4 linked regions of the Diceros bicornis minor genome follow. The protein of the gene in region 3 interacts with the protein of the main gene of each other region in a pairwise test. Links are inferred from orthologs where the notes say so. Each region holds a gene or a part of one and is shown on either strand. Other genes may lie near its edges. The genes, in order: STX18, FUS, NUPR1 and RAN.

Region 1 (7,475 bases), on a different chromosome or scaffold from region 3:
AGTTTCAACACAGTTGTATTAAACTTAACATAACCTCTACAACAACTCAGTGAGATGGAAATCTGACATCAGGAGTATGTTTTGTCAAAAATGAGGAATGAGAAGAACTGGAATTGAACTAGGTAATACGTATCTTAGAAATGATAATAAATGCTTCAAGGAAGGCATTCAAGAAAAGGCATTACTATAACTTGCTACATTTCCTTAAGTCTGACAACCAGGGCTCAACTTGAACCAGAATATGTGTTCCTAGTATGACCAGACTTTTATGTATAAGGAATTCAGGCCAAACAAAACAACAGCCAGACTTCTGACACATCTGACTGTGGTTAAGAGCAAAGGACACCCCTCACTAGCTCTATACTAGTTACACTTTCCATGAGAGAGAGAAATGGTTGCAAGAACAGGAGGTACTACATAAAGCAATTGCAACATAAAATCAAAATTCCTCAAAAGAAGGCATGTGTTCCCTATGTCAGGAAGGGCAGTGGCCCTGAACAACACAGCCCATGTCCCTACTTAATAGACTCCCCAAGCCTTAACACCTACCCACATCAATAAATACCAGAACTGGAACTTTCAGTGACATGCATCTAACCCTCTGACAAAAGCACAGAGTTATTCTCAAACATCTCTGACGAGCAGTCATCCCGCTGTTTAATTACCTCCAGTGACAGGGAACTCAGCACCCCAGGGTCCTGTTACTGTCCCTGAGGCCTATTAACCCAAAGGCCTAAAGTACCATCTCACTACTCAGGGAGAGGCCTGGGGCCTAAGTGATCACAGGGCTCTCTCCTCACTGCTGGCCAATCCAACGATGCTTCTCGTCTCGGCCACTCCCAGAGCCCCTATCCCTGAGCAGGACCCAAAATTAGCACAGTGTTAATAAATCAGTGATTTCAGGGTTAGAAAAGGCCCTCCAAAAACCAAAACTGTGATCTTCATACCACAATTCCAAAGGAGGAACCTCAGGAACAGCCTGGGCCAGACTCGAGGGAGGCGCACAGAGAAGTCCCAGTTTCCCTCCCTCTCATTTCAACCTGAGAACCTTGATCTGCTATATATCGGAGATCATAGCAGTTTTTTTTAAAAGTCTTCTGCTTTTTAAGGGGGAAAAAAAGGAGGAGACTATTGCCGGGTAAATAAACTAAGGCCATAAAACCTGCTTCATAAGATCATGGCTAATCATCGCAGGGTTAAGACAACAACCTGGTGTCTTCACCCCTTCTCTAGCGCTCTCTCTACCACATAACATCTGACTGCCTCCAGGGCAAAGTCCAAACTCCACACTGTGATAAACAAGGCCCTTCAAGATTTCCCCTGCCTACCACTCCAGTCCAGTTTTCCTGAGTGTCCCCCAAATCAGCCACACTCAAATGCTTATCCAACCAATTCATTAACACTGCGAAGCGGCACATTCATCCTCATTTGGAGTAGCTCACATAACAAGTTCCTCCAAAAAAATCTGCAATGTCATTACTGTCTAATTTGTTGGTACTTTAATGGGTAGACACACATTGAGTATATATAAATTCAGCTAAATTGAGCATGAAAATGACCTATTTCCACATCTTTGTGTGCATACTCTTCTCTTAGCCCGAGGCGCCCTTCTCCACCCTGTCTGCACTGGAACCAACTACTCCTCTTTAGAGATTTGTTTCAGACATTATCGCCTCTCTCGGCCCTCCAGCAGAATTGGCCACATTCTCCTCTGTGCCTACACAGCATCTACAAGGCTGTATGGTGCTTGTTTTGTTACTCGGTCTCCCCCACCATTCCCTTTAAATCATGTTATTCTAACACAGTGCTGGTCAAAAAATAGGTGCTTGCTTAACAGATGCTTATTGATGGACTGAATGTATTCATCTGGCCCAGTCCCCCTTCTGATGCTTGAATATCCTCTGCAAACTGCCACTTGTTAATTCACGCATACATACACTCATTAAAAAATATCTCAGTGTCTACAAAGTATCAGGCTCTGGACTGTGTGCCAAACTTAAGGGGATTTACCACGAAATTAATGAAGTTTAAGCTTCAGGGTTTACACCTCCCAAAGCTCTAAACCTTTGTGATTCTGTATTTTCATTTCTTAAAGAGGACAGGCAGAACTGCATAAGCTTCAAGCTCCACAAAAACTAGATCCACCCTTGGTGCCAAGGATACAAAAGTGAACGAGGCAAACATTTTCTCTCTCCCTTTACAGAGTTTCCCGTTTAGTGGGGAAGACAGACAACCATTTGTTCATTCATTCATTCAACAAACATTTACTAAGCAACGCCATGAGTCGGAGTCGGGCACTGGGGCTTCTGACGTGAAGCCAACACTGTTTCTGCCCTTAAGGAAAAGGTTCCTGCTCCCCTGAACGAAAGCCTGCTGTGTTCAAGGCACAGAAGTAGTTTAGATGACGCTAACATGGAGTGTTTGTGAAAGATTATCCTTAACCAGTCTCAAGACGCACTGATCCCCAACATGAGCCCTAACCTGCTGCAGGAGGCGAGGGGACGGGAGAGGTCAGCTGGACACAACATGTGATCTCCACGCGGGGGAAGGGGAGAGGGCCGAGACCAGTAAACAGGAGAGGCAAGTACGCCGCGGTCAGGGCCGCGACAGGAAAGCAGAGGAACGCGGGGGCGTTTCGCTGGCGTTCAGGTCTGCAGCGACGGCGAGCTCAGCAGCTCCGCAGCAGCGCGTGAGCTCTGCCCACACACTTCCGCGCTCCCCACCGCGCGTCCCCAGTCCCCGAGACAAGGCTGCGCCCTTTCCGGGACAGCTGTCGGCCCCCCGGACCAGCTCTCCGGGCCCCGCTTCAGTCCAGGCGGCCTTCACACAACGCGCACGGGACGGGGTCCGGCCGCCCCCCGCTCCGGCCCGCCGTCTCCATAGCAACCCGCTCACCACTTCGCGCGCCCGGCTGGAGAAGTCGCCCTTGGGCCGCGGGCTCCGGCGGAACAGCTCGTCGCGGCTGCCGTCAGCCCCGCCGCCCACCGCCACTCCCAGCGCTTTGTTTCGCGTCTTCACGGTCTTGACGCTGGCCCGGAACAGCAGAGTGATGTCCACCGCCATGACGACCCGCACTCACGGGCCCCGACCCGGCCGGCCTACGTCAGCAGCCGGCGACCGCGGCGCGAGCCCGGCCCCCGGCGGACCGTTCCGGCTCCGCACGCCTCCGCACGCCAACCGCGACGCGAGAAGAAAGGTTCCGGCCTCCGCCGGGCTACCGCGGCCAGAGCAGAAAGGTTCCGGCCTCAGCGCACGCGCGTGGCGGACCCCCGCGGCGCCCGGACCTCGCGGCGCGCACAGCCGCGCCCCTTCTCCCCCAACCCCCCACCTCTGCGGGCTTGGCCGCGCGGGCAGGTCCACGAACCCCCCGCCCCCGCGGGCCGGTGTAGGGCGTGTGGGCCGCGGGAGCGAGAGGACCAGGAAGCTGACCCCTTCTCGAGACTCCCGCACGGAGCGAGCCGGCCGCGGGTGGCCGGAGGCGACTCAGCATGACCTTTGACCTCAAGGACGCACCTTGTGCGGGACGGAGTTCGTGGACCGTGACATCTAGATGCAATGCGTGCTAGGACAAGCAGGTGTGCATGGCACAGAGCTGGAGACCGGAGGCCTTTCATTTTCACCTTTCAGCCCCCCGAAGCCGGTACCTTCCTGAGAATTATTGAGAGTTAAATGAGATAACACGCGTGAAGTGTTTTGGCTTTGCTTGGCTCCTGGTGACCAATAAAAGTTAGATACCTGTTGTTAATAACATTGTTGTCCTCGTAATTATGGTGGGGAAGGGTTCCATAGAGAAGACTCACTCTAGAGAAGGCAGATTTGAAGGCTGACCAGGAATTTATCAGATGGAGACAATGGCGGAATTTCTGTTCATCCTTGATGTATAGTTTTTAAATATACCATCTTAAGTGGTAGTTATTTAAGTTGACTGCAGGGTAGCCAGTGAGTCCTTTGTACGTTTTGGTTCAAGGTTCAGATTTAATTCAAGATCTCATTGATTTCATCGTTTGTTTTTTTGATAGTGGGTGCACCGCTGGAATATGTATTAAAACAGTGGTTGTCAAAGCGTGGTCGGCAAGATAGAAACTCTTCATAATCCTAAAATGTTACTTGCCTTTTCACTCTCTCTCTCAGGAGTTGTGTACAGTTGAGTGTCCCAGAGGCTGTGTGCCTTGTCACATTGCAAAACACTGAATGCAGAATGGCTGTCTTCTATTAAGCCAGACTTTAAAGAGATTTGCAAAAACGTAAAACAATGCAGCTCTCACTAAATTGTTTTGTTTTGGAAATGTATTTTTTCACAGAAAGATACCATTTATGTTACTATGTAATGGATTTATTTTTGTTTTTAAAGGAATGAGTATTTTAAATTTTTGTTTTAATTTGTAATATGGTAAATATTGATACATAAAACCATATAAACCGAAGTTGTTTAGGGCCCTTAATAACTTTTGAGTATAAAGGAGTTCTGAGACCAAAATTTGAGACCCACTGTGTTCAAGAAATAAGTTTATCAGAAATAGATGTCAAGAAAGTACACATGTACCTGAAAAGAAGAGAGAAAAATGTTATTTAAAACCCAGCTGTAGCCACTTCAGCCTTCCTGTATGAGGAAAATAAATTTCCATACAGCTTTCTTCTGCCTACAGAGTAAGAGGGAGAAAACGAAAAAGAAATTAGAAAATCTCTGCCCAGGATTCTGTCTCGCATAAATGGTCCTTTGTTTTATGGAGACATTAATGGGTCTTTAGCTATGCATAGGTAAGCCTGGGGCAGAGTTGAAGGAAAGAGAGTTAAATTGCTCTGCATAATAAAGTGAACAGGATTGAATTAGGGGGAGGAGGGGGAAACCAGAGCCCAGGGAGGGGGTTCAAGAAAGGAGAGAGTAGTTCTTTGGGAAGAGTTTTGAGGGGGTGGCTGAGCTACACCAAACCTTCAGTGAGTAATGCCTTGTGTGGGTAGTGCGTTTGGTGCGGTTAGTTTTTTTGTGTAAAAGGTTGGGGAAAAAAGTGTAAGTTTTCTGTCTGGATCTGTAAAAGCAGAGAAGATTGTGGAGATGAGACCCAAGTAAACTCAAAACATCAAGCTGTAAAGGCACAAGTGACCGCACGTACATAAAAGTCCTAGAAGAGTCACAAAGATCTTGAGGAGGCCATTGGACTTCCCATAGATCGTGGGGTATGAGATTTCACTGTTTTTCTCTCTCTCTTTTAACCTCAAAGAGCAAAGCAACAAGTTGACACTGGACTAGTAACTATTTGAAATCCCATAAAGCTGAGAGGGGATGTGGATGAAAAGCAAGAACAGAAGTGTCACGGGAGTATACTACAAACTACCAAGTTTGATGTAGTACAGAAATTATGTTTCATTGGTAATAATGTTTCATTCATTAGGCCAGGCGCTCTTCTCTTGAAAAACAGTAATGCATGTTGGAATTCCTGAATATAGCTCCCTATAACCGCACCTTCCATACAATCAAGATAAATGTAGGCAGCTCAGAATTATTTGGGGACTCTCACAGAAGTCATTAAATGCAGCCTCCATCAAAAAGAGGGTATGCTGCACATCCAGATGACCAACCCATGACAGACATGTGCTGTGAGAAATAGACTTCTGCTGTCGTCAGACTTTGTCATTGTGGCATCCTTTAGAGGGGTTGGTTTTATAGCCGTACCAACTGGCGAAAGTTGGCGTAAGCAGGTATTTGCTGCATGGAGGGTGTCCAGTGCCTGGAAATGTGAATTCTTGCAGGGCAGAATGGGGAGACCACAGTTTTCTGGGTCCATGGAATCATAGATTTGCCACAATAATACAGTAACTAGAGACCCTCTGTGATAGTCTGTTTTATCGTTCACTGGTACTCATGGCCCCTCCTTGGGGGAGGATTATAGTTCGTTGACCTATAGATGACTAACTTGGCTAGGTGATTCCTTTTAGCTGAGAAAAGTAATGTGTGTTGGTTCGGGGCAGCAAATTTAAGAGCTAACATGTGGTTCACCATGCTCTCTTTTCCCTCTGCCATAGCAACCCATAATGTTCCAATGTGCTACCAGCCTGGGTCCCTGAGTAAAGATGACGTGGAGCACAGCCAACTAAGGACGTGTGCTGGCAGTGAGAGATGAACCTTTGCTCTTGTGGTCCATGGAGACTTGTGGTTGTTTGTTACTGCAACGTAATTAGCATATCCTGATTGATACAACGCATATCCAGATATCTGCCAAAACAAGACTTTTGGGTGCATTCTTCACTTACCATCACTACAGTGTCATCTCTCAGTAGGTAAAGGATGGAGAGGAAGGAACAGTTAGATTACACCTAGATCTAACCAATAGAAAAGACCTGGTTGGGAGTGTTAGAATAATAGAAACCCTGCAAGCCTGGCCATGCCATGGCAGAATTCACGGTGCAAGAGGGGAGGACTTGGAGAACATGTACTTTCACTGTAGGAAGTGGCCTGAAAGAAATTCATCAAAAAAATTTTTTTTCTCAGGGGCTCTAAAAAGGACCGTGACTCTAGGGACAGGAAGCTCAAAGAATCAACTTTTGCTCCTAAGAAGGAAACTAGCTAAAGAAATCAGGGTGATGGAGAAATTGGAACCCTTGTAAACTGTTGTTGGGAATGCAGAATGGTGCAGTCACTATGGAAAACAGTATGGAAATTCCTCAGAAAATTAAAAATAGAACTACCATATGATCCAGCAACCCCACTTCTGGGTATTTATCCAAAAGAGTTGAAATCAGGATCTCAAAGAGATAGCCGCACTTCCACCGTCATAGCAGCATTATTCACAATAGCCCAGACATGGAAGCAACCTCAATGTCCACTGATGGATGAACGGATCAAAAAAATGTGGTATATACGTACAATGGAATATTATTCAGCCTTTAAAAAAGGAAATCCACTATGCAACGAGATGGATGAACCTTGAGGACATTACGCTAAGTGAAAGAAGCCATTCACAGAAGGACATATACTGCAGGATTCCACCTATATGAAGTTTCTAAAATAGTCAAACTCATAGGAGAGACTAGAATAGTGGTTGCCAGGGGCTGGGGGGAGGGAGAAATGGGGAGTTGCTGATTAGCAGGTGTAAAGTTTCAGTTATACAAGGTGAATAAGTTCTAGAGATCTGCTGCCCAACATCATGCCTATAGATAAAATACTGTATTGTACGCTTAAAAATGTGTTAAGAGAGTAGATCTCGTGTTGTATTCTTACCACAATAAAATAAATATTTAAAAAATCAGAGTGGATTTCTCCTAGGAGCTTAGTTTTGAAACGGATGTGCAGAAGAAGCGGGGAAAGGCAAGAGGCAAACACAGAAGGTTGTCGAGGCCCCATCCTTCCAGGTGCCGCCTTTGTCCCTCCACTGCCACCCAAGTACATAGAAGAGGAGTCACCACATTCTTCATTCTTACTTGATTCTTGGCTTGGGTTCTGAGCCCCTCATCCTGACCTACTGGCCTATTTCATGCTT
Region 2 (8,507 bases), about 1.1 Mb from region 3:
TAAAAAGAGAAAAAAGCCTTGTGAACTGGCATACAACAGTTCAACAGTGCCAAAGGATAAAAAACAACAGAAATAAGAAAACGGCTATGGAACAAGAAAGCAAGATTTTTAAGAAACCTTTTACGGTAAGGTCCAAGCTATGGAATATAAATCCTTACAGAAAAGAGACGAAACTGAAGACACCTTCTCACCTCCACCACCCCCTCCGCCACCTCCACTGCCACTGTTGTACTGGTTCTGCTGTCCATAGCCCTGAGGGGGATTATAGGAGCTTGGCTGCTGTCCATAGCTTGGCTGCTGTCCACCATAGCCAGACTGCTGGCCATAGCCACCACTCTGGGGCTGCCCATAGCTGCTGCTCTGGGAACTGCTGCCGTAACTAAAGAAAAGGAAAAAGAATCATAACGACAGCATGTCCAAAACTTCCTTTCGCTTTTGGTACGTCCCATTGTCTGTACCCAAGAAAGACCACCCCCCTCCCCATTACTCCTCATGATTGCTCCTATTGCTGGTCACATTATCATTCCTTATCAATTCACCCTTAATCTTTCAGGCCTCTCCCCACAACTCCTTACCTTCCCGAGGTGCTGCTAGGAGCCGGTTGCTGGCCATAGCCAGGGTAGGAGGACTGCTGCCCGTAAGACGACTGAGAACTCTGGCTACTACCATAGCCACCAGCTGAGCCATATCCTTGGGGAGCTGACTGAGTTCCATAGCCTGCTATAAGGAAAAGAGAAAGGAAACCACAAAAGCTATGTAGAAAGAGAAAAGGCAGGGAATGGGTTGAAGAAAATATTATTTACTATCTAATGCTACCCATACTTGAAAAGTTCGCCTCTCAGAAGCTGCTTAGAATCTTGCAATTCATAAAGTTACCCTTCTCTTCTACCTAAGGCTAATGTTCCAACTTCTATCAACTTTGGACTTCCGATCTCACCATACCCACCCCAAAGCGAGTCTCCAGGACCACGCACGACTAATCACAGCCCAAAAGATCCCTACTCATTAACAGCATTTTAACCTGCTCAGATGTGTGCAGTACACATAGAACCCACATTATTTACACTGCAAGACCTCAGGGCAAATTCCACCTCCTTGTGTATCACATGATATTTGGTAGTGTGACTTCAAACATCTTCAAGCAAATCATTTTCTCCCTGTAAGCACCAAAAATCTAAAACTTTCTCCCCTTAGGGAATACTCTCCCCCACGTTTCACTTTCACGCTAAAGGGAAATGGGGAAAAGGGCAGCATTAAAAGAAAAATAAGGACTCAAGAAAATAAAGAGAATTACAAACCAGTATGCATTTTTGTTTGAAAGGACTCAGACTCCAAAGAGTTTTAAGAGTTACAGACCAGTTAAGGGAAAAGAAACACAGGACAGTTCCAACATTTCAGCATTGCTCAGGTTTAAGAAAAGCAACATTCAGGAGGAGAAGGAAGGGGGGGGGTGACCCACTAAAAGAGACTCACTGTTCTGGGTCTGTCCATAAGAAGAACCATAGCTGCTCTGGCCATAGCCTGAAGTGTCTGCTGACTGACCGTAACCACTGTAACTCTGCTGTCCATAGGGCTGACTGCTCTGCTGGGAGTAGCCTTGCCCAGGCTGGGTGGGGTAGGCCCCATAGCTGAAGAAACAGAAACAGTGTAATTAGGAAAAGATACCCTAGCCACCCTTGACCTCTACAAACCCCGAAAGCCCAGAAATGACTCTCACCTTTGGGTTGCTTGTTGGGTATAATCTGCAAAAAGAAAAATACAATTATTTTTTTCAAAAAAAGAAAGCAACAATAATACAATTACATTACCTTCAGCCATCCCTGAAAAAACAATAGGGCAAAATTCCTCAATTTAAGCCCTGGGGCCTCCAGGTAAGAAATCAACCAACAAGACCATGTTGCAAGAAGGGCAGAAATTCTCTCCTGAAACACTAGTTGAGAGGAGGGGCAAGCTGGCAGATCAGAGTCAAGTTTTCGTACTTGACTCTGAAAAAGAGTCAAAGAAAAAGCAAATTTCTGCAGACACCAAGAGGCCTTAACTACTACTGGAAAAAAACAAGAATCTTGGTGGACATCTACAATTTTCTGCAAACTCAACTGATGTCAGGAATGGCACAAATTCACACACATTTCAGTTTCACACCCACTCTATGAAGAAAGTATCACCAAGAATCAAGCTAAAGTCCCAGAGCTACTTAAGTGGGACAGGTTTTAACTCAAGCTGGAGGCAGCAGTGTTCGAAATGTGGCCTCCACTCTCGCAATCGAGACCCAAAGAACAGAATGTCTCAAACTTCTTCACCCTCTGCCTAATCTTGAAAAGCGGCAAAGTGGGCTTTCAGTGCAAAGCCAGGTAACCAAGAGAAAAGAGCCCTCGGACCACAAATGACAAATCATCAAAGTGCTCGCCCCAGGAGGCAGCAGTTAACTGGTCCTCGAGTCCTCAGCCCTGCGGCTCCAATCCCCTCTCCTCATCTACCCTGCCTTCCTCGGAGCTGTGAGGAGACAGCAAACCAAATGCAGCGGGAGTGCTTTTAAAACGCCACACTGAGGACGCACTAACCAGATCAACGCATCCCCTGAGTACAGGAAACCAGGCGCTTCCCCCGCAGGAAAGGGCCAGAGGACCGGGAGAGGGTGTGGCCTCGGGCAGCCGTTCTTTCGGTTCCCACCTCAGAAAGAGGAAATTTAGGCGGGAAAATCCTCGGGCCGAGTCCCCAACCCCGTTAGACGCCCCCACAGCCGTTAAGCGGGCGCGCGGCCCCGATCCCGAGCCTCCGCCCGCGGCCGCGTGGCAACCGAGGCGGGAACCCGGCGGTCCCGCCCCTTCCCGAGGGACCCCGGCGGGCGAGGCCCACACCGGACGCGCAGCGCAGAGTCGCCAGCGGAGGGTCTCGCGACAAAAAGCAGCGCCAACACGAGGCGGGAGGGAGTTCGGGCCGCGAGAAAGGGGGGAGGGGCCAGCAGAGCGCGTGCGCGCACCGAGTGCCCGGATGCAGCACTGCGACAAAGCGGGCCCGAACGCCGGGCTAGGACCGAAGGGAAAAAACGGCTACGGGGACGGAGCATTTCCGTCCGTGTCTCACGTATCAAATCACCCAGAAGCGTCCCTCTCGACCCTCACCTCCAGTAAAGGCACTGCGAAGGCAAGACCTCCTGCCCCGCGCAAGGCGCCGGAGGAGCGAAACAAAATGGCGACATCAGCCTCCCCTTTCCACCCCTCTCTGTTGCTTCCCGCCACCGTGGTGCGAGAAGACCCTACACGCGATCACTGCCCGGGTCCCACCGAAAAACAAAAGCCCAGCTGGGAGAGAACGAGGCCCCGGGCCGGCGCGCCACCGCCGCCTCGTGCCTTTACATACCGTTTGAGGCCATGTCCGCGCACGCGCGCACAGGCCAACAAGCAACAAGATTCCAACACCACGGAGCACCGACGCCTCGAGGACTGACCAGCCCCGCCTCCTGCGTCGAGGTTTATGTACGCCTCCCGCCTACGTACCGCGGAGGAATGCACCAAGTGCGGCTAGGAAAAGGGGGAAGCATGGCTGGAGTCCTACCACTCTTCAGGGAGTATACAGGGTCTGAGCAGGCAGAAGGGAAACATATTAACTGAGAATCATGAAAATAATATATAAAATCATGTTTTCTCTGATAAAGAACTGGGATTCACTCTGCAGGACTAGCCTGCTATTCACCTCTACCCCTATAAAGGCATAATGGTACGGTCTCATTACCCTCTGGGGGCGGGGCGAGGGGCCCAGGGCGTCTGCGGACCCAACTGTAGTCAAAGCTGGGAGGCGCCAGGCGGGAACCGAAATTCCTCTGGCTGGACCCTTTCACTGGGCCCCACTTTCACTCCGGATGGCGAGATCCTGCGCTCCGTTGCCCTCGCAGTACACAGGACGTGTCGTCCTTCCGGCCGCCAAGCTCCCTTTCTGGCTCTAAAGTTCCTCCCCCGACAACACACACCGACCCTCTCTCTCTCTCTCTCTCCCTGGGCCTTGGTTTTCACTTCATAGTCTTTCAGGGTCTCATTTCCTTAGTCCATACCAGGGTTTGTAAATCGTGACGTCTGACCTGAAAGAAAGCATGGAGTTTAGCCCAGATCCCTGGATCCTCGTCTGGCCCAGCACTGATCGCCCTCCCAAACCCTCGTGACTTTGACCCTGACTGGCGATGGAAGGGGAAAGCCCAGGCCCTCTGGACCTCAGAGAGCGTTGAGATTAGGTTAGGGGTCTCCTAGCCTTTTACAGATAAGGAGCTACTTTTTATTGTTCTAAAGCACTACCAAGGAACCAATATGGAGATCCAGTAATAACTATTTGCATATGGCTTAAGTGGTTTCAAAATGCATAATTAATTGCTTTCCCATCACAATCTTTTAAGGAAAGGAAATGTATCTCTTTTATAGATAAGAGAAGTGAGACTCAGAGAGGCCAAGTGCAACCCATGATTATAGAGCAGCTGAGGGTCAGATCTGATTCGAATCCAGGTCTGTGTGGCTGCAAAACACTCCTTTTGTTGGTTATATGAACACCTGGCAGTGTTCTGAAGCCTGTTCACTCCCTGTGAGAGCGAGGACAAAAAGTGGAGTTCAAATTAACTTGCAACTTGCAGTCTAATCAGCCTTGCCTGGAGAAGGCAATTTGAGAGTATTGAATAAAACAAGACAAAGGAGGTTATTCCTGGTACACATGCCATGCAGATTTTCTTTCCCAACTTAACTTTGACCTCGGTTCCAGTAGTTCCTTTGTAGGTTTGACATGTTTTCCTAGAGAAACAATTAAGGTCTAGGCCCTAGGCCTGCCCACAAACTTCTACTAAACCCCTGATGGCCCTTGAATACCCTGTCACTCGCCCCACCCTCATTGGGAGGGCAGTGTGACTGTGGAGTGAGGGCAAAGGGAAGTCCATCATTCCTTCATTCATTCATTCTACAAATATTTATTAAGCACCTGTAGTGTACCAGGCACTGTTCTGGGCACTGAGGATGCATTAGTGTGCAAAACAGACATCTGAAGGAACTTAATAACAAAGCTAACTTTTTGTGTGTGTGTGTGAGGAAGATTACCCCTGAGCTAACATCCGATGCCAATCCTCCTCTTTTTGTGCTGAGGAAGACTGGCCCTGGGCCAACATTCGTGCCCATCTTCGTCTACTTTATATGGGACGCCGCCACAGCATGGTTTGACAAGCAGTGCGTCGGTGCATGCCCGGAATCCGAACCTGGGAACCCCGGGCCGCCAAAGCAGATCACGTGCACTTAACCACTGCGCCACCGGGCCGGCCCCCAAAACTAACACTTAATAATGATATTTATATGTTATATATAACACATTTATAATAGCTTAACACTTTGATAAGGCTTACTAAGTATAAAGCAGTGTTCTGAGTCTTTGATCATAACTTACAATAGGCACAGAAAGATCATAAGCTATCCCCAGGGCTACACAGAAAGCAGCAAAGCCAGAGTCCCAACCCAGGCAGCCTGGCTCAGAGTTCCTGCTCTTGACCCCTGTGCTTCAGCAAACATTGCTTGAGCACTGCATAGTGTGTGCCAAGCATGGGGCAGACGTAGAGAGAGGAGGATAAAAAAGATCCAGTCCCTGAACCGCAGGACCTTATAGCCAGTGGATGAGATGTGAGTGAGACACACGGACCCCAAAGTATGTTTGAATCAAATGTGGTGAGTGCTGTGACATGGAATCAAGGAATCTGGGAACTCTGTGAGGAGAGCAAGTCATCCATTAAGTAGACAACCACAGAAGAGGAAGGAGAGATGGTGACACTGAAGCAGCCCTTGCAGGATAAGTAATAGTTCACCAAGTGGTGAGAGAGGGAAGGTGTAACAGGTGGAAGGAATGGCAAAGACAAAGGCAGGGGTAGGGAAAGGCACTCATGGGCAGAGTGCAGGGAGTGACAGGTTTATACTGTGACCTCATCAAGTGACCGTTTCTCCAGGCTTATCTCTCTCAGTGGACCTCTCCTGAGTCACATCACACAGGGACCTCTCACTTCACCTTAAAAGTCTCCTTACTTGACATCCCTGCTCCCAGCCCTCGCACCTTTCCCACTGTCCCTCTGTCTCCTTCCCCTGCAGTGTCCTCCTCTGCTCACCCTACAGACAGCAGGGCCCTCCAGAGTTCTGTCTTCAGCCTTCTTCGCTTCTCCCTCAAGACCCAAAGCCCCAACTATGACCTGGTGTAAGATGCAGCCTGCAGACAGGTTTTGTGTAGCCAGCACGTTGTTTTTAATTAACTAGTTGCCAATACTAAATATAGGGGAAAAATCCAAACTTCTGGCTTTTCTTGAAAATTAGAGGCTCTGGCCACCCTGGGCCTACTTTTCCAGAGGGCAGGGGTCAGCTGGAGCAGGAGGCTGCTGGGGCATGTGCTTGCAGCTTGCCACAGTCTCCCTCACTCCCTAATGTTTCTCTAGTGGGAGAGTGTCGATTGTCATTTATATCAGGAGTTGAATGCAGTTTTTCTTCGAGTTAAAAGCAAGAGAAAATATTTCTTGTCTTCAAATGTAGGAAAACAAAGCAGGCCCTGGTTTTCAGGCCTCCAGCTGGCCCTTGAAGGCATTCAGATTTGTGATCTGTTCCCAGATCATGGATCCTTAACCTCTTTTTGTATCAGAGTTTAATGATAATGTGGACCCCTTCTTAGAATAATATTTGTAAATGCATAAAACAAACTTTGTAAGAATACAAAGAAATCCAATGGAAATAGTTATCAACTATTTCTTAAAAAGATCTTTGTGATCCAGTACACAGATCTGATAGTGTAATAACTATCTTAATTTTTTTCTGTTTTCTAATAGTTTTTTTTTTCCTTTTTTCCATAGCTATCTTAATTTTGAAGTAGAGTGGAATAAAAAAATGTTTTCAGGTACCTACAACAAGTGCAATGTGGTACAATTTCTAAGATTTCTGTCAGTGACCAAGACCCAGAAACTGTTGTGATTTATTGCCTACAGTCATCATATTGAGAAAAATGCTAGATGTCAATTGGCAGTTAGTGAAAATTGCCATGTAATGTTTCCCTGTCCAAATCTGTGACCCCCTGACTGCTATCCTCAGACCCCTAGTGGGGACTCCAGGTTAAAGACTCTAGACAGTCTAATCTCATCCACATCATGCCTTCAGCTCCTGGATGCGTACACCCAGCCATGACCCTCCTGAGTTCCAGGCCTGTCTCTGGATCATCTCCAGCCCAATTTTGTCAAGCAGATGCATTACATGAGATTGGAGGCAGCAACTATTGGTGGAAAATTCACATGTTCTGGCCAGCATAGCAGCCCAAGCCTTTGGTTCTTCATGGGTAACTTTGGTGGAGGTTATAACATCCTTAGTATCATTAACATCAATGGACTGAGGCAACAGCACTGGAATTTCCATTAGAAAAGTACCAAGGGCCCGCCCCATGGCTTGGTGGTTAAGTGCGCGCGCTCCGCTACCGAACCCGGGCGCGCGCCGACGCACTGCTTGTCCGGCCATGCTGGGGCTGCATCCCACATACAGCAGCTGGAGGGATGTGCAACTGTGACATGCAGCTGTCTACTGGGGCTTCGGGGAAAAAAAGGAGGAGGATTGGCAATAGATGTTAGCTCAGAGCCAGTCTTCCTCAGCAAAAAGAGGAGGATTGGCATGGATGTTGGCTCCAGGCTGGTCTTCATCACAAAAAAACAAAGAAAGAAAGAAAGTACCAAGGTGTTGTTGGACCCTTGGCCTGGTATGTATTACTGGCTGGGAAGCATCCAAGCTTGACTCTTGACCATCTCAGAAATTTGGTAACCACCTATCATAATCCCTTTCTGCTTAAACTATCTAAAGTGGATCATTGCCATTGCAGCACTGCCTATATATCAAAACATTAGAAACTGCCTAAGTGCCCATCAAGAGAGGGTCTGGTTGACTTAATTATTATACAGCAAGGTTTCTCAATCTCAGCACTTTTGGCATTTGGGGCCAGTTAATTCCTTTTTTTTTTTTTTTTTGGTGAGGAAGATTAGCCCTGAGCTAACATCCATTGCTAATCCTCTTTTTCCTGAGGAAGATTGGCCCTGAGCTAACATCTGTGCCCATCTTCCTCTATTTTATATGTGGGACGCCTGGCACAGCATGGCTTGATAAGTGGTGTGTAGGTCTGTGCCTGGGATCTGAACCTGTGAACTCCAGGCCACCAAAGCAGAGCATGCGAACTTAACCACTACACCACCGGGCCAGCCCCTGGGCCAGTTAATTCTTTATTTTGAGGGAATGTCCTGTGTATTCTAGGATATTTAGCAGCATTCCTGGCCTCTACCCATTAGATGTTAGCAATAACCCCCAGTCGTGATAACCAAATTGTCTCCAGGCATTGCCAAATGTCCCTGGCGGGAGTAGGGGGGCCCAAATCATCCCAGATTGAGAACCACTGTAATACGGATATACCATGAGATTTGAAAAATGAAGTGGATCTAAATGTACAGATATAAAGACTATCCAACTTCTGTTATTAATGGGAGG
Region 3 (7,171 bases):
AACCTCTCGTGTGGTTGGGTGTGGCCGTGTGACTAAATTCTGAGCAGATGTGATGTGTTCTACTTTTAGGTTGTGGCCTTAGAAATAAATTGGTGTGGCCTCCCCTGGTCCCTTGCCCGCTCTCTTTCCACAGGCTGAGATGCAGATGTGATGGCAGGTACCAGAGCAGCTAGATTGGACCTCAAAGTAGAAGCCATGTTTTGAGAGTGGCAGAACAATGATCCAGAAGGAGCTGGAATCCCTGACACAACGGAGTTGCTTTTAGCCCAGGAGTAGTTACCCTTGGAGCTGTTATGTGACACAGAGAGAACTTTCCATCCTGTTTTGTTTGGCTCTTCATTACAGCAGCCAAATCTGTATCTCAATCAATATATCTTCTTAGCTTCAATCACATCTCTTTTTTGCCCCATGTTCTTCTCCAACTGTGATCCCAAGACTGATAACACTAAGTAAGAACTTCCTCCTCTCGCTGACCTCCCATAATCCTGTTCGGGCAGCTCCCCGGGCAAAGGGACCCCCCTCACACTTGAGCACTCTAAGAATCCTTGAAGTTGAGCCCTGGGTAACTTGAGCCAAGTCCCTTAATGTGTTAAATCTCAGTTTTCTCCATTTTGCAGGTGGCGCCAAGAAATAACATTCACTTCAAAAGGCAATGTTATATGAATACGACATCGTCAACAAGATTGTTCTTCCGAAAATGGAGAGGAGCTGGGGAGGGGGCTTTTTTCATGGGCAGCATTACAAAGAAACAGAGGAAATCCCGCTGCACCCCAAAAGAGACCACAGAAATGTATGCACCAAAACACACGCATACCAAAAAAAAATGCATGCTCACCTCTAGGTGCCCTACAAAATCAGGAACCGCCCCTCCCAGACACATAACCAAACACAAACACTAACAAGAAATGCTCTCACTGGCTCATGCAAATGCAGACACATGCGGGCAGAAACAGAGAGAGAGGACAAAAACCACACACAGGCTGCAGCTGCTGAATTTTGTTTATTGTCGCTGCCACCCTAGGGAGCTCCCGGGTCTTCAGCGTCTTTCTTTTTGGGGGTACCTTCATGACTCTGCCTCTCTATCCCCTGCCTCTTGCTCCCCATCTTGTCCTTTTTCTGGGGCTGGGGGCGCTTCCTTGGTGGCCCCTTGGAGCCTCAGTCAGGTGGGGTAAGTCCTGGGGGTGGGGCGGAGGGCAAGCAGGCCTGGATCCGGCCCCCAGGTGCTGATTCTTCCGAAGTCCTTTCTCCATTGCTGTGGTGTCCGTGCTCTGGCCTCATCTGGGGGAAGGAAAGCAGGTGACCAAAGGCGTAGAGGCCTGGGTTCTGACTCTGCCTCTCCCGCTCACTTGCTGTGTGACTCCAGAGAAGGAGCCTACCCTATCTGGGCCTCAGTTTTCCTCTCTGTAAACCAAATTTCCCTCTAATTGGAAAGGGTCTATGTTTCCCCTTTGCTCTGGTCACTAACAAACTCAGAGTCGAATGTATGTTTCATTTTACTCTATGTGGAAACAACAGTCCCTTGACCCCTTCTCCCCACCCAACCAGCACATTCAAGCTTGTCCCTTTCAAGGCACAGGGACCTCTGCTGTTGCTTTGGGACCCCCGACTCCCTACCTCCAGCTCTGTCTCAGGGCCGTGCCCCTCGCTTTTTTCGCTCGGTATTCTGGAGCTTGGTCACCAGCTTCCTCTCATGCCCACCAGGGCTGGGGCGGTTGGTGTGGGCAGCAGCTTCTCTCTTGGTGCGACCTTTCCGGCCTCCCACTCCTGGGAACCGAGGCAAGAGGCCAAGGTGAGGTGGGCAGAGGCATGATGCCTCAAAGGAGAGGCAGGGGGTTGGGACTTGGGGGGAAAGAGCTTGGGCTGGAGTAGGGAGACTGGGGGGTTGTCACCATAGCTTTGGGGGCAGCCGTAACCCCTGTTCCCCATCTGTGGAAGAAGGGGCCGCTGGAATGAGCTGTTGTTGCTCCAGTATTCTAGAAGTGTATGAGGCCCCAGGCTGAATAGGACAGCACTCAGTGGAGGAGGGGTTAGCAGGGGGTGATGCGAGGGATAAAGGAACAGGTTGGCTGGATAAGGGTGAAGGGTGGGGAGAAGCCCAAGGAGGGGACCTCGTTTGGGGGTGGGGGCGTCAGGCTGTTTGTGGGGGATGGGGATCAGAGTAGAAGAACCAGGAAGGTGGCAGGCCAGGCCTTACGCAGGTAAGAATGAGCCAGGCTGTAGAGGTCGTACTCATCCAAGCTGGGGTCTTCGTCCTCCGGGTCTGGGGGCTGCCGGGATGGGCTGGCTGCTTTCGGGAAGGTGGCCATCATGTCTGGCTTACTCTTGCTGTCTGTCTCTCGTCTTCTAAAGCTTTGTTTGTGTCTGGTTTCCTGACACCTCCCAGTTCACTGGCCCCAACTTATAAGGCCACGTCTCCTCCTCAGCCCACAGTCTGGCTCCAGCCCCTCAGGCCCTGTCTGATGCAATCAGGCCCTTTCCCAGAACCCGGCCCAGTAAACACCAGTCACGAGAGGGAAAAAGAGTCGTCCCGTGAGTCCCAGCCCCCCTTCCCTCCTCCTCTCACCGGGGCTCGCCCAGCTGGGTATTTTTCCACAGAGGAGATCCCCGCCCCTCAGCGGGGAGGAGGAGAGGCAGGGTCTGGGCATAAACAGTTCTGAAGATCAGGGCCAGCAGGGAACTGAGGGCCTCACTTGGCCAACTCCTTGCTGTCTGTCTCCTGCCCTCTGCAACGTGCCCCTCCTGGGCTTGGGCTCATGGCCACACAGCTGACCCCCACCCCCACCCCAATTGTGGCTCAGATTCAGGACCATGGTGGCAGAATACGGAGTGAAAAGGGAGAGGGAGAGGATATCAACACTCTATGTGCTCTGTCAGTGGTTCTCACCCCTGGGACACCCAACCCCCTCTTTTATAAGAAACATCTGGAAAGCCCCCTTAATATCCTGAACTGGGTCCCTAGGTAATTTCCTCACCTGAGAGAGAGGCTAGCAGAGTGGTTACGAGTGCAGATGCTGGAGCCAGATGCCCTGGGTTCAAACCCCTGATCCACTACTGCCTGTGTGATCCTAGGCAAGTCACCTTCCACCGCTGAGCCTCAGTTTTCTCCTCTGTAAAAACGAGGATGATAAAATTGTATCTACCTCATAGGGCCGGTGAGAGGATCAAATGAGGTAATCGTGCCTGGCCCAGCATAAGTTGCACTATGTAAGAGTTAGTCACACAGTTTCCAAACAACTCCATATAACACCCTCACTGTAATGGAAAGGAGACATAGAAGGAAATTAATTTATAATGAAATAAAATGTATTTCAAAACATGGATAGACTGAGGTAGAAAACATTATGAAGTGAATAGGTGTTTGTACCTATTTAATATGAATTAAAGGGAGGGGTTCAGATAAGAAACATGTGAAAGTAGAATTTTCCACTCTTGCCTAAGGATCTGACCCAGAGAGGCCACACCCTCGGGTGCCCACTCCTGCTTGAGCTCAGCTTGTCGTGCACCAGCCCCCGGCCCCGGCTGTCCAGATCAGGGAAGGAGGCAGACACAATAGTTCACTTTCTTATTCTTTTTTTTGGTGAGGAAGATTGTCCCTGAGCTAACGCCTGTGCCCATCTTCCTCCATTTTGTACGTGGGATGCCACCACAGCATGGCCTGTTGAGCAGTACATCGGGCTGCGCCTGGGATTCGAACCTGCGAACCTGGGCTGCCGAAGCGGAGCGCACGAACTTAACCACTATGCCACTGGGCCGGCCCCACTTTCTTTTTCTTTTTTTTTTTTTACTCTGTGGTTCCAGCACAACAGGACCTGCTCAGTGTTAATTCTCTGTTCACACTGCGACTTTGCTGTGAGCCTTTTGAAACGTGTTCCATCTCAGTGTTACCTAAACCCCATCCTTCTCCAAACCCTATAATAACCCAGTCTTGTCTTCTGTTGAACAAGAAGCAGCACTTCTGCTTGTGTTCTTCTCTAGCCTGAGCCAGAATTAAATTTAGCTTTTGTTTTCCAGATTTGGGTGATATGTGAGTTCTTTAATACCCAGTAAATGAAAGTGAAGACAGGAGGGTAGTCGAATAAGAACAGCTGGGATAATAATGACAGACCAGATGACAAGAGAAAGAGGAAAGTCACCTTAACTTAAAGATAACACACGGGGCCGGCCCGGTGGCGCAAGCGGTTAAGTGAGCACGCTCCGCTGCGGCGGCCCGGGATTTGCCGGTTCTGATCCCAGGTGCGCACTGATGCAGTGCTTGGCAAGCCATGCTGTGGCGGTGTCCCATATAAAGTGGAGGAAGATGGGCACGGATGTTAGCCCAGGGCCAGTCTTCCTCAGCAAAAAAAAAAAAAAAAGGAGGATTGGCAGATGTTAGCACAGGGCTGATCTCACAAAAAAAAGAAAGATAACGCACCACAACAAATTAAGGTGGAGAAATACAGTGTTATTGCAAAGTAGTGGGCTTTATCACTACGTGTAAAAGTAGCAAAATAATTTCCTCTATCATGACGTGGGAGAGGGTAGGTTCTAGGCTCAGCTCATTGTAAATAAGTTTTTTAGCTTCATGAACATTTAGCAGGACAGTCAAATGTCATGTAGGACATGAGGCAATTCTGTGTGCCACTGTCCTGCTCCCCCTCCCTGTCATTGTGACAACCAAGAACACTCCCACAAATTCCCGAGCTGCCCCCTAGGGGGCGGACTTTGACTCATTCACCTCTGCCACTAGGACCCCCGTTTACCGGCTGCGAGATCTTGGGCTCGCTTCTGAGTTTCCGTCTGCTCATCTGTAAAGGGAAGATGGTGACAGTACCCGATGTGTGAAAGGGCTTTGTCCAGAGCCCAGCATGTGGTGTACTATTTCCCCTATTCTTCAAAGAAGGAAAACTGAGGCTCAGAGAGCGACCAAGATCACACAGCTGGTGTGAGAAGGATTCCTCCCACGGTCTACCTGACCCTGGTTCCAGGGCTCGTACTGTCTGCACAGCTGGCAAACACTGGCAAAGGCTGGGTAGCTCTGTGTGTGGAAGCACCTCTCAGAGAGTTGTCCCTCCCTCCCTGCCTCCTTGTCCCCTCCTTCCTTCCTCCCAAACAGTGAGTGCCTGCTTTGGACCAGGCAGGGTGCTGAGGACACACAGAACTACACACAGTGGCGCCCTCTGGACGCTCTGCGCAATGCAGGAGGCAGATCATGAGCAGATGAGCGCACATCCCTATCCAAAATACCGTACATTCCCCCAGTTATTCTTTACCCCTTTACCCTGACGTTATTTTACTTTCTCTATAGCATTTAGTTATCACTAGTCAAAGTGTCTTTTTTATTTGTTCACGTCTCCATGATTTGTCCCCACTAGAAGGCCATCATTGGTTTGGTTTAGTTAGTGGTTAAAGGAGGAGGCTCTGCAGCCGGACTGCTTGGTTCTACTGCTTGTTAGTTGAGTGCCCTGAGACAAGCTATTTAGCCTCTCTGTGCCTCAGTTTCCTCATTTGTAAAATGAGATTAATAATAGTACCTAGTGGGATTGTTGTGAGGATTAAAAGACCAATTCTTGGGGCCGGCCTGGTGGTGCAGCGGTTAAGTTCATGCATTCCTCTTCGGTGGCCTGGAGTTCGCCAGTTTGGATCCTGTGTGCGGACCTACTCACTGCTCGTCAAGCCATGCTGAGGTGGCGTCCCATATAGAAGAGCTACAACTCTACAGCTATGATACACAGCTATGTACTGGGGCTTTGGGGAGACAAAAGAAAAAAAAAGAGGAGGGTTGGCATCGGATGTTAGCTCTGGGCTAATCCTCCTCACCAAAAAAAAAAAAAAAAGATTAAAAAAAACCCAATTCTTATAAAGGCTCAGCACGGTGCCTAGAACAGAATAAGTTTCAATAAATGTTAGCTATTATTATTATTATCATTATTCATGAGGGCAGGAATCTCGTGTGTCTTATCATTATTATTTCCCCCATGGCTGGCACACAGTGAGCACTCAATAAATGCCTAGTTGAATACATGAAGCTATGCTAAGATCGGCACTGCTTTTTCAGCTTCCAGATGCTCTGCTCTTAGGGAACTGAGGGGCCCAATCCTGCTCCCGCAGAGGACTGTGAAGACACCGTGACCATCGTCCGTGGAGCCGGGGAAGGAGGTCTCCCTGGCCTTGAGTGTGCAGGTGCTGGAAGGATAAAGCCTAGACCTTGGGGGCAGGAGTGGGCAGAGGGAGGGTGGCCAAGAGAGAAGGGACTTTTGGGAACCCATTGGCATGGACCTGTTGGGCCCAAAAGGTGACTCAATGGGAAAAGTCAAGGTGTGTTTTCCCAGTCTCTAGTCTCCAGGTGTGTGTATAATCAGCCACAAGTAAGTTTATTTTCTCGCTGCTTATGACTACACCTTCGTGACATTCCAGGAGATTGCCAGGCACACCGATTACAAGCCAGCGTGGTCAGTCTGGAGTAAACACAGGGGCTGGGGGAGCTCTCAGGAGGGTACCTAACCCAGCATGGGGGTGTGTGTGTGTGTGTGTGTGTGTGTGTGTGTGTGTGTGTGTGTGTAGGGGCTGGGCAGAGGATCAGGGCAGACTTCCCGGAGGTGGTGAATCTGAACAAGAATAACTGTGAGAAAGACAGCAAGACAAGCCCAACTCCAGGAGTTAAACCATCCAAGTCAGGAAAGCCTGGATAGCCTGAGGGATGTGCAGAAGTCTTTGGCTCAAAGGATCAGGAGCTTCCCAGGCAGGATATGTAATCAGGAGGGATTGGCGACATTGCTGTATGCCAAGGGGACTCAAGAATCCTAAATGAGGTGAAACAGGATGTGTCTGCATGACCTCATAGCCCCATGCGGAGAAACCCTCGAACCTGGCAGCTGTTTGCCGTTCTTCTTGGCTGTCTGACTTCATCCCCTTGAATATAAATGCATGCAGTCTTTTCATGGGTGATTTGGCAACATTGACAAGAATGTTAAATGCACATACTCCCTGATATTGCAGTTCTACTTACAAGAATCTCCTACAGAAATGCTCCCAGGCTTGTTTGTAGCAGTGAAAAACAGAAACGACCTAAGTGTCCTTCAATACGTGACTGATCAGCACCCTTCTGTGAAATGTTCTGTGGCCATTAGAAAGAACAAGCTATGTCTCTAGCTCTGATGAGAAAGTTGTCCATAATAAATAGTGGAATGAAAAG
Region 4 (7,696 bases), on a different chromosome or scaffold from region 3:
CAAAAAATGAAGGTATTTTTTTAACTGCCACATTCACTCCGAAGCCCATTCATCTCCTTCAGCATCCCAAAGATTAAGCACATGTTCTGCTTAGCTATATAATAAAGTGGCAAACACGCTGCACCACTGACATCACAGGACAGTTGCCTATAAAACTAGACTTCTGACGCTGGGCTCCAGCTTCATTTTCTCACAGGTCATCGTCCTCATCCGGGAGAGCAGTTGTTTGAGCAACCTGGAAAAAGAGATGAAAAAATTTTAACACTCTAGATTAAAGCCACTAGGAATGTGATATGCCAAATCCCACAGCACCCACTGAGACTGAAACATCATACCTCTAGATCATGCTCGTACTGTGCTGCCAAAGCTGGGTCCATGACAACCTCTGGTGGGGCAAGAGCAGGCATGGCGACAAACTCCAAGTTAGGGTCTCCAATGAGTTTTCTAGCAAGCCAGAGGAAGGGCTTTTCAAAGTTGTAGTTACTTTTGGCAGAAATGTCATAGTACTGTTTAAAAAAGAAGTAAAATTAATTTTAAAAACTCCATTACTCAAACAATGATCATCCTGGGGGACACTGCAAGCTAAAAGATAAAATTACTTCAATCCACATATCACAGACGTTTATCAACCACTTTAATGGACCCATATATAATTTTATCTAAGGGCCCTAATCCAGTAAATGGAAGCTGTAAGAAACATACCTGAAGATTCTTCTTTCGGTGGAAGACAATAGATTTTGCCTTAACTTTCCTGTCCTTAATGTCCACTTTGTTGCCACACAACACAATGGGGATGTTTTCACATACTCGTACCAGATCTCGATGCCAGTTAGGCACATTCTTGTAAGTAACTCTCGATGTTACATCAAACATTATAATGGCACACTGGGCTGAAGGAAAAATTTACAGAAATTAGTACACACCTAGCAACTACATGGATGAGAAATGCTAAGAACTATGGACTAGCACTCAGTCTCAGACTTAACTCTAGGTCATCCAGAGTTGCCTAATCAATTTCAAAGTCTCTTCCAATTCTAAAAATCTTAAATCACTGTAACACACAATACCGTTTATATGAAAGCATGAAAAACCAATTTACCTTATCAAATCTCTCTCCCTATAGTCCTTCATCACTAATTCTACCTAATCCCAAAAAAGTACCTAAAGTAGATTAATGATAAATCAACATTCCAGAGAACTCACCTCCCATATTCTGAGGGTCTAGAAATCTATGCTTTACAATGTCCTTAAACGGCTGAATACACCATAACATGCCTCTATTTAAGAATACTCAAGTAGGTCACTATGTTGACCTGTAGGAATAGGCACCTCTCAAAGCTAATGAAAAAACCAAGAGTATGCACAGTATAATACAGTTTAAGTAAAGAATTTTTGGGGGAAAAATCCCTGTATTTGTACATACTCAAGGAAAAGCAAATAGCATGGAAGGATTCCCAACAACTTTTCAGCGAGAGTAAGATTCCAGGTAATGAGTATTTTCTTTATTCATCTTTTCATTTGGCACAACAGTAAGCATTTTTCTTTGCAATTTTTAAATCAAGCATTCGGAAAAAAAATTCTGCAAAACTCAGCACAATTAAAAAGAAAACAGCTGGTCTTTTACAACATTTGTAAGCTAGAGAACCTAGCTCTTCTGGTCCAGTATCTGGTCAAACTGTTTACTATCTTCTCAATAGAATGGAGAAGAAATCATCATTGATGACCACCAAAACATACACCCAGAAATAAGTTTTCAAATGAGGCTGAAGCTGCAGCAACTGCTTGTCTGTTGCTTACTACTGTTTTTAAATTATGAGCCTCAATATAAAATCAAGTAGTTTTTTCAAAACAGTGCCTATTATGACACAGCATGCAACCAAACGGCACAAGACAACTTCCATAAAATTTTTTCCCCCTCCAATGATGGTCAGCTCCCTGGAGGCAATGACTTTTTAATCAACCTAAATTACACAACTCCTGGTACGGTCCGGATTAAGCATGTGTTCACTGGAACAGATCTGATCATCACTGAACACCCTAGGGGACCAAACTACAATTTCTCAAAAAGTGTTCAAGTTACAGACGAGACACGCACCTTGAATGTAATAGCCATCTCTCAGTCCACCGAATTTCTCCTGGCCCGCTGTGTCCCACACGTTGAACTTGATGGGCCCTCTGTTGGTGTGGAACACGAGGGGATGGACCTCGACGCCCAAGGTGGCTGAAACACACACCCCACATCAGTCCGGGAATTCGTCCGTTTCACCCCACTTTCGCCGACGGTTTTCCCCCACGTACCTACATACTTCTTCTCGAATTCCCCCGTCAGATGGCGTTTCACGAACGTAGTTTTCCCAGTGCCACCGTCCCCAACCAATACGAGCTGTTGGACAACACGTTTTTGAAATAAACCCCAGACCCGTAACATCTCAGGACCCCGGAGTCACGCAGCCGCGAGGCTTGCCGGACGCCCACCTCCACCGGGGGGACAGAACCTCAACACCCCGTCAGGTCCCCCCACACAAAGGACCCCGACCGAGCGGCCCCGCCATCGCTTCGGCGACTTCGGCCGCCGGAACGTGCGCCCGCGGCCACGCGGGGCCCGGCCCCGAGAGCCCCCGCGCGCCCCGCCGCGCCCCGCCGCGCCGGCCCACGCGGACACCTACTTTGAACTGGACCTGCGGCTCTCCCTGGGCGGCCATCGCGATGTTCCTGCGGAGAGAGAGCGGGGCCCGCGGGGGCCGGGACACATGGCCGGCCGCCCCACGTGCCGGCCCACAAAGGCGGCCCCCGGCCCGACCCCGCGCGGGCGGCGGGCGGGGCGCGGCGCCATGGCGGCCGGGCGGCGGCTCCCGCGGCCCATTCACCGGGCCGGCGGGGAGGCCGCGCGGGGGAGGCCCGGAGGCCGGGCCCCGAAAGCGCCTGGTCACGGCCGGCCCGCCCGGCCCCCCTCCGTCCGCGCCCGGCCCGCCGCCCCGCCGCCCGCCCGCCCGGCCCGCGCTCGGGTCCGGCCCGGCCCGCGGCCTCCACGGGGAAGAGGGCCCGCCGCCCCGGGCCCGGCCCCGCCGCCTCCCGCGGCCGCCGGCGCCCTCGCCCCGGCCCCGGCCCCGGCCCGCGGCCCCGGCCCCCGCCCCGGCCCGGCCTCCCCTCCGCTACCTTCCAGAAGCGTCTCCGGGCCCGTCTGACTGAGGGCTGGAAAGATGGCGGAAGCGCAATTCAAATGCCCGGAGACGCAGCCGACGCCGGCGCGCGCCGAGGGAGGGCGGGGCAACGGCGCGGCGCCTCTCCCACGTGGCCTGGCGCGCGCGCGCACGCACGCCGCGGCTCCGCCGGCCGCACTCGTCGGCCGGGGGCGCAGGGAGAGGCTCGCGGCGCGGCGGGAGCGGGAGGCCGTGCGGGCGCGCGCACGCCCGCCTGCCCGCGGGGCCACGTGCGCCGGCCGGGAGGCCGGGTTCCCGCGCGCGCATGCGCCGACGGCGACGCGGCGCGCCCTGCTGCCGCCCGGGTAACAGAAGCGGGAGGGGAGGGCCGCGGCCTGTTGGGCGGGAAACTCGCGGGGAGCGGCCACACAAAGCCCCGGTCGTGCCCGGCGGCCTCCTGCACAAGCACGGGCACAGCGGGCCCCGGGGGCGCCATGTTGGGGGCGCAGGCCCCTTCCCTGCCCCCTCCCCAGCCCCCGGCCTCAATCAGGACCCTCCGAGGGGAAGGGAAGCAGAGACCGATGCTTTCTCCCCCCGAAAAGCCAGCCCCCTGTCTCCTACGGCGTGTGATCGGTCAGCAGCCTCCGCGACCGTATTCTGCAGACAGGATGCTGAAATGTGGTGTTCGCAACCGTGGCGGGTCTTCTCCTGTTACAGACATGGGTGCAGTCATGAGTGTCCAGGTTCCAGACTCGGGAGGGGATAGGCCGCCAGGAGCCCGGACGAGCGCCGTGCGCGCACGCTCCTGGAGACACCCCCTCACGGGGTCAGCGTGGGCGGAAAAGGAGGACCCGCAAGCTCACGAGTATTGGTTATCGTCATCCGTTCATTCGCTTTTAGCAAAGATGTGGGCCGAATGGAGTCCTCGCACCTCGTATCCTAAATCTGAGGCCAGTGTTTGGCGTTTATATGGACAACCACAGATTCTTTAACTGACGTCTGGGTCCCCCCGGCCAAGCAAGCATCCATGACTGGCAGCAAGAGCAGGCAGCGAATGGCCCCATCAGAATAAAGTTCCTCACAAAAAGATTCCACCACGGGGACTGTTCCCAGAGCAAAGAACCCAAATGACCAAGGAGTTAGCCACGGAGTCCTGAGTGCACTTGCAAGCAGGTCTGTTGGGAACTCCAGTGACGCAAACTGGGCACAACACATCTGAGAATGTGCCTGCTGGGAACTCAAGTCCGAGTGCCCCGAAGGACCCTCAGGAAAACACCAAGCAGATCTCGATGCTGCTGGTGGGAGTGTAAATTGGTTCGGCCTCTTGAGAGAGAGAAACTAATAAAACATAAATGTCCATAGCTCACGACCCTGAATTGCCCTGTATTTCCATTTCTCGGGAGATGCCGTAGCGTTAAACTCACACATGTGCATAAGGAGACAGGTTCACAATGCTCACTGTGACATTATTTACAGTAACAAAAAGTGGAACTTACGTAAACGTCCATCAATAGGGAAATGTATAAATATGCTGTGTTTATACGATGGATTACTGTACAGCATTTAAAAAGAATGAAGTTCAGCTATGTCAACAGAGTTAGATAGATCTCAAAAGGATAATGTGGAGAAAAGAAGCAAGTTCAAGAAATATGTGGTAATACCTTTATATAGTCTACACTATATATAATTTATAGAGATTATATGTAGTATAAGACCACTTATGTAAGTTTTTTACAAACACACATAAAACCATATTAGTTCTTGGATGTATGTATGTAAATTTTTAAAAGTTGACTACAGGGATATAGACTAAATTCTGCTGGCTGTTGCTTTGAGAGAGGAGAAAGGAGTGTGATGAAATTGGGAAAAGCAGTCAAAGAAGTCTTGATCTGCAGTGTCCTCTTTCTTTTTTTAAAAAGGTAATCGTATAATTCTGGGTGATGAAAACACCAGTGTTTAGACCTTTTGGCATTTAAAAAAAATTTCTAACCACAAAAAAAGCCAAGGGGCAGTATGTCAAACCAAGAGTATTAGCTGCTCTCGCACCCATCCTTCTAAAAGGAGCTCCTGGGCCGGCCCAGTGGCTTAGCGGTTGAGTGCTCGCGTTCCGCTACTGGCGGCCCGAGTTCAGATCCTGGGCGCGCACCGACGCACCGCTTCTCCAGCCATGCTGAGGCCGAGTCCCACATACAGCAACTAGAAGGATGTGCAACTATGACATACAACTATCTACTGGGGCTTCCGGGAAAAAAAATGGGGAGGATTGGCAATAGATGTTAGCTCAGAGCCGGTCTTCCTCAGCAAAAAGAGGAGGATTAGCATGGACGTTAGCTCAGGGCTGATCTTCCTCACAAAAAAGAAAAAAAAGGAGCTCCTGGGTGGTCTGTTCTTGGCTGCTAATGTCATTAACTGGCCCAATCCCAGAACTTCTAAACATCATCATCTTATGGAGAGTGAAAAGGGGGAAAATATACTCAAGCCAGCAGAAATAATGCTTTTCCTCAATAGAACTGTCCAAGCTCGTCCATTTGTTAATGGCTTTGCAGTTTACAGAGGTACTTAACTTGTCTCGGCCACCCAACACAGATTGCAAACCCATGCTTAACCTGTAGTTTAAAAAATTACAGCTATATACACAAAGAAATATGAGAATTACAAAAAAGTTGCAAAAGTAGTACAAGGAATTTCAGCACCCTTTACTTCTAGTTTCCTCAAATGTTAACATTAATCATTCTTGATCATTCTCTCCTCTCAATAAAAACATCGTATATATATGATTTTAAAAATATGTCAATATATATGTGATTTTTTTCCTCTGAGATGTTTGAGTAAGAAGCAAACAGCACGCCCCTCAGTGTGTATTTCTTAAAACCAAGGACATTCTGTTACGTAACCACTGTACAATTACCAAAGTCAGGAAATGAACATTGTTGCAATTGTTATCTTATCTACAGAACTTAATTGCCAATTGTCTCACGCCTGTCCTTTATCTGCTGCAGGATCCATCTAGGATTACACATTACATTTAGCTGTCCTGTCTCTTTACTGTCTTTCAATGTGGAATGCTACATTCATCTTAGGCTTTCATATCCTTGACATTTTTGCAGAGTATTTTGTGGGCCAGTTATTTGTAGAATGGCCCTCCATTTGGATTTCTCTGATATTTCCTTAGGATTAGAGTCAGGTTATGCAGCGTGGGTTGGGATACCACAGAAATGACGTATGTCCTTCTCAGTGCATCTTATCAGGAGGCACAGAGCGATCTTCTTAAAACATATCAGACCAACCTTCTCCCCTCTTAAACCCTGCAACGGTTATCTATCTATCTCACTTGGATACATGAAATCCTCAGCCGGCCAGGTCCTATATGAGCTAGCTTGTGCCTACCTCTCCTGCCCCACCTCGGGCCTCTTTCCCAGTAACTCTTCTGTGGCCACACAAGCCTTTCTGAATCTTACCTTGGCCAAGTTTGTTCCCAAATCAGGGCCTTTGCACTTACTGGTCCCTCTGCCTAAAACGTTCTTTCTCCACATCTTTGCCTGAGTGGCTCCTTTTCATTCTTCAGGTCACAGCTGAATGTCACCTCCTCAGGAAGGCCCACTCAGACCACACCCCTTCTAACGTGTTATCACCACTCCAGCCCTTCCTCATCTCAGCAACCATTTTATTTTCTCCAAAGCACTTACCACTAACTGAAAATATCTTGCTTAATTATTTACACGCTTCCTTTTTTTATCTCTCTGTCCCTCATTAGAATAAACTAAGCACCTTATTTATCATGATATTTGAGGTATCGAGCACAGTGCCTCGGCCATAATGGGAGCTCAGTAAAGATTTGTTGAATTATTGAGTGAATTGCTCTTCACCCCATCTGAATACAGAAAGAATAATCAGAAACAGCAGCGATATATTCTAATAAAAATAATGATTTACATATACCAGCTTATTAGAATTTTAATAATGCTATTTCATATCAAAGACTAATCATTAAGCAAATAACTTAAACATTTACCAAATATAGGGCCAAGCTTTTCTATTTGTATGGTTTCCATCAACTTTGTTGACTTTGCAAACCAATAAGGAAGCTAATCTTAAAGATTTCATTATCTAATTCATTCATCAGTCCAGCTGACGCATGTCAGTAACTTACCAAATGAGATCTTTTCTTTATCCGACACTCAATGTTCCATATAGGGAGCACATCGATGCACAGAGTACATGCTACTTCTTAGCGTTAGCACAGAAGTTATCGTCTTAAAAGCAAATGGAGAGACTTGTCATATAGTCACACCATATAGTCACTCATCTCTTTCATCTAAAGATAAGGACAGTGCAGAGGGTGCACCTTCGTGGCCCATGAACTAAATCCAACCTTCAAAGGTGTTCTTTGTCCTGCACTGAGGTGGTTCACAAGTGCTTTATATCTGAACTAGCGTTTTAAAATGGGATGGTTTTAAAAGAGTCCACATTTGATACTGCTCTCTCTGAAAGTTGAGCCTCATCCTCCTCTCCTTGAGTGTGAGCTGGACTTAGTGACTCACTTCTAACAAAGGGAA

Evidence for each region.
Region 1: the proteins of NUPR1 (region 3) and STX18 interact in a two-hybrid assay, tested with the Homo sapiens proteins (2 studies listed by BioGRID and IntAct). The link is inferred for Diceros bicornis minor from reciprocal best matches to the Homo sapiens genes NUPR1 and STX18.
Region 2: the proteins of NUPR1 (region 3) and FUS interact in a two-hybrid assay, tested with the Homo sapiens proteins (2 studies listed by BioGRID and IntAct). The link is inferred for Diceros bicornis minor from reciprocal best matches to the Homo sapiens genes NUPR1 and FUS.
Region 4: the proteins of NUPR1 (region 3) and RAN interact in a two-hybrid assay, tested with the Homo sapiens proteins (2 studies listed by BioGRID and IntAct). The link is inferred for Diceros bicornis minor from reciprocal best matches to the Homo sapiens genes NUPR1 and RAN.

The regions. Positions count from the first base shown.
Region 1 is NC_080747.1:6,965,765-6,973,239, reverse strand, and holds the start of STX18 (syntaxin-18), read right to left. Parts: upstream 3,107-7,475; 5' UTR 3,064-3,106; coding exon 2,896-3,063; intron 1-2,895. UniProt on the Homo sapiens protein: Syntaxin that may be involved in targeting and fusion of Golgi-derived retrograde transport vesicles with the ER.
Region 2 is NC_080765.1:20,887,678-20,896,184, forward strand, and holds the start of FUS (RNA-binding protein FUS), read right to left. Parts: upstream 3,441-8,507; 5' UTR 3,374-3,440; coding exon 3,361-3,373; intron 1,743-3,360; coding exon 1,718-1,742; intron 1,629-1,717; coding exon 1,474-1,628; intron 721-1,473; coding exon 576-720; intron 380-575; coding exon 159-379; intron 1-158. UniProt on the Homo sapiens protein: DNA/RNA-binding protein that plays a role in various cellular processes such as transcription regulation, RNA splicing, RNA transport, DNA repair and damage response. Binds to ssRNA containing the consensus sequence 5'-AGGUAA-3'.
Region 3 is NC_080765.1:22,008,771-22,015,941, reverse strand, and holds NUPR1 (nuclear protein 1), read right to left. Parts: upstream 3,111-7,171; 5' UTR 2,310-3,110; coding exon 2,195-2,309; intron 1,765-2,194; coding exon 1,628-1,764; 3' UTR 1,615-1,627; intron 1,279-1,614; 3' UTR 853-1,278; downstream 1-852. UniProt on the Homo sapiens protein: Transcription regulator that converts stress signals into a program of gene expression that empowers cells with resistance to the stress induced by a change in their microenvironment.
Region 4 is NC_080774.1:2,098,330-2,106,025, forward strand, and holds the start of RAN (GTP-binding nuclear protein Ran), read right to left. Parts: upstream 3,246-7,696; 5' UTR 3,157-3,245; intron 2,713-3,156; 5' UTR 2,703-2,712; coding exon 2,667-2,702; intron 2,384-2,666; coding exon 2,299-2,383; intron 2,222-2,298; coding exon 2,096-2,221; intron 891-2,095; coding exon 703-890; intron 507-702; coding exon 336-506; intron 236-335; coding exon 191-235; 3' UTR 1-190. UniProt on the Homo sapiens protein: GTPase involved in nucleocytoplasmic transport, participating both to the import and the export from the nucleus of proteins and RNAs. Switches between a cytoplasmic GDP- and a nuclear GTP-bound state by nucleotide exchange and GTP hydrolysis.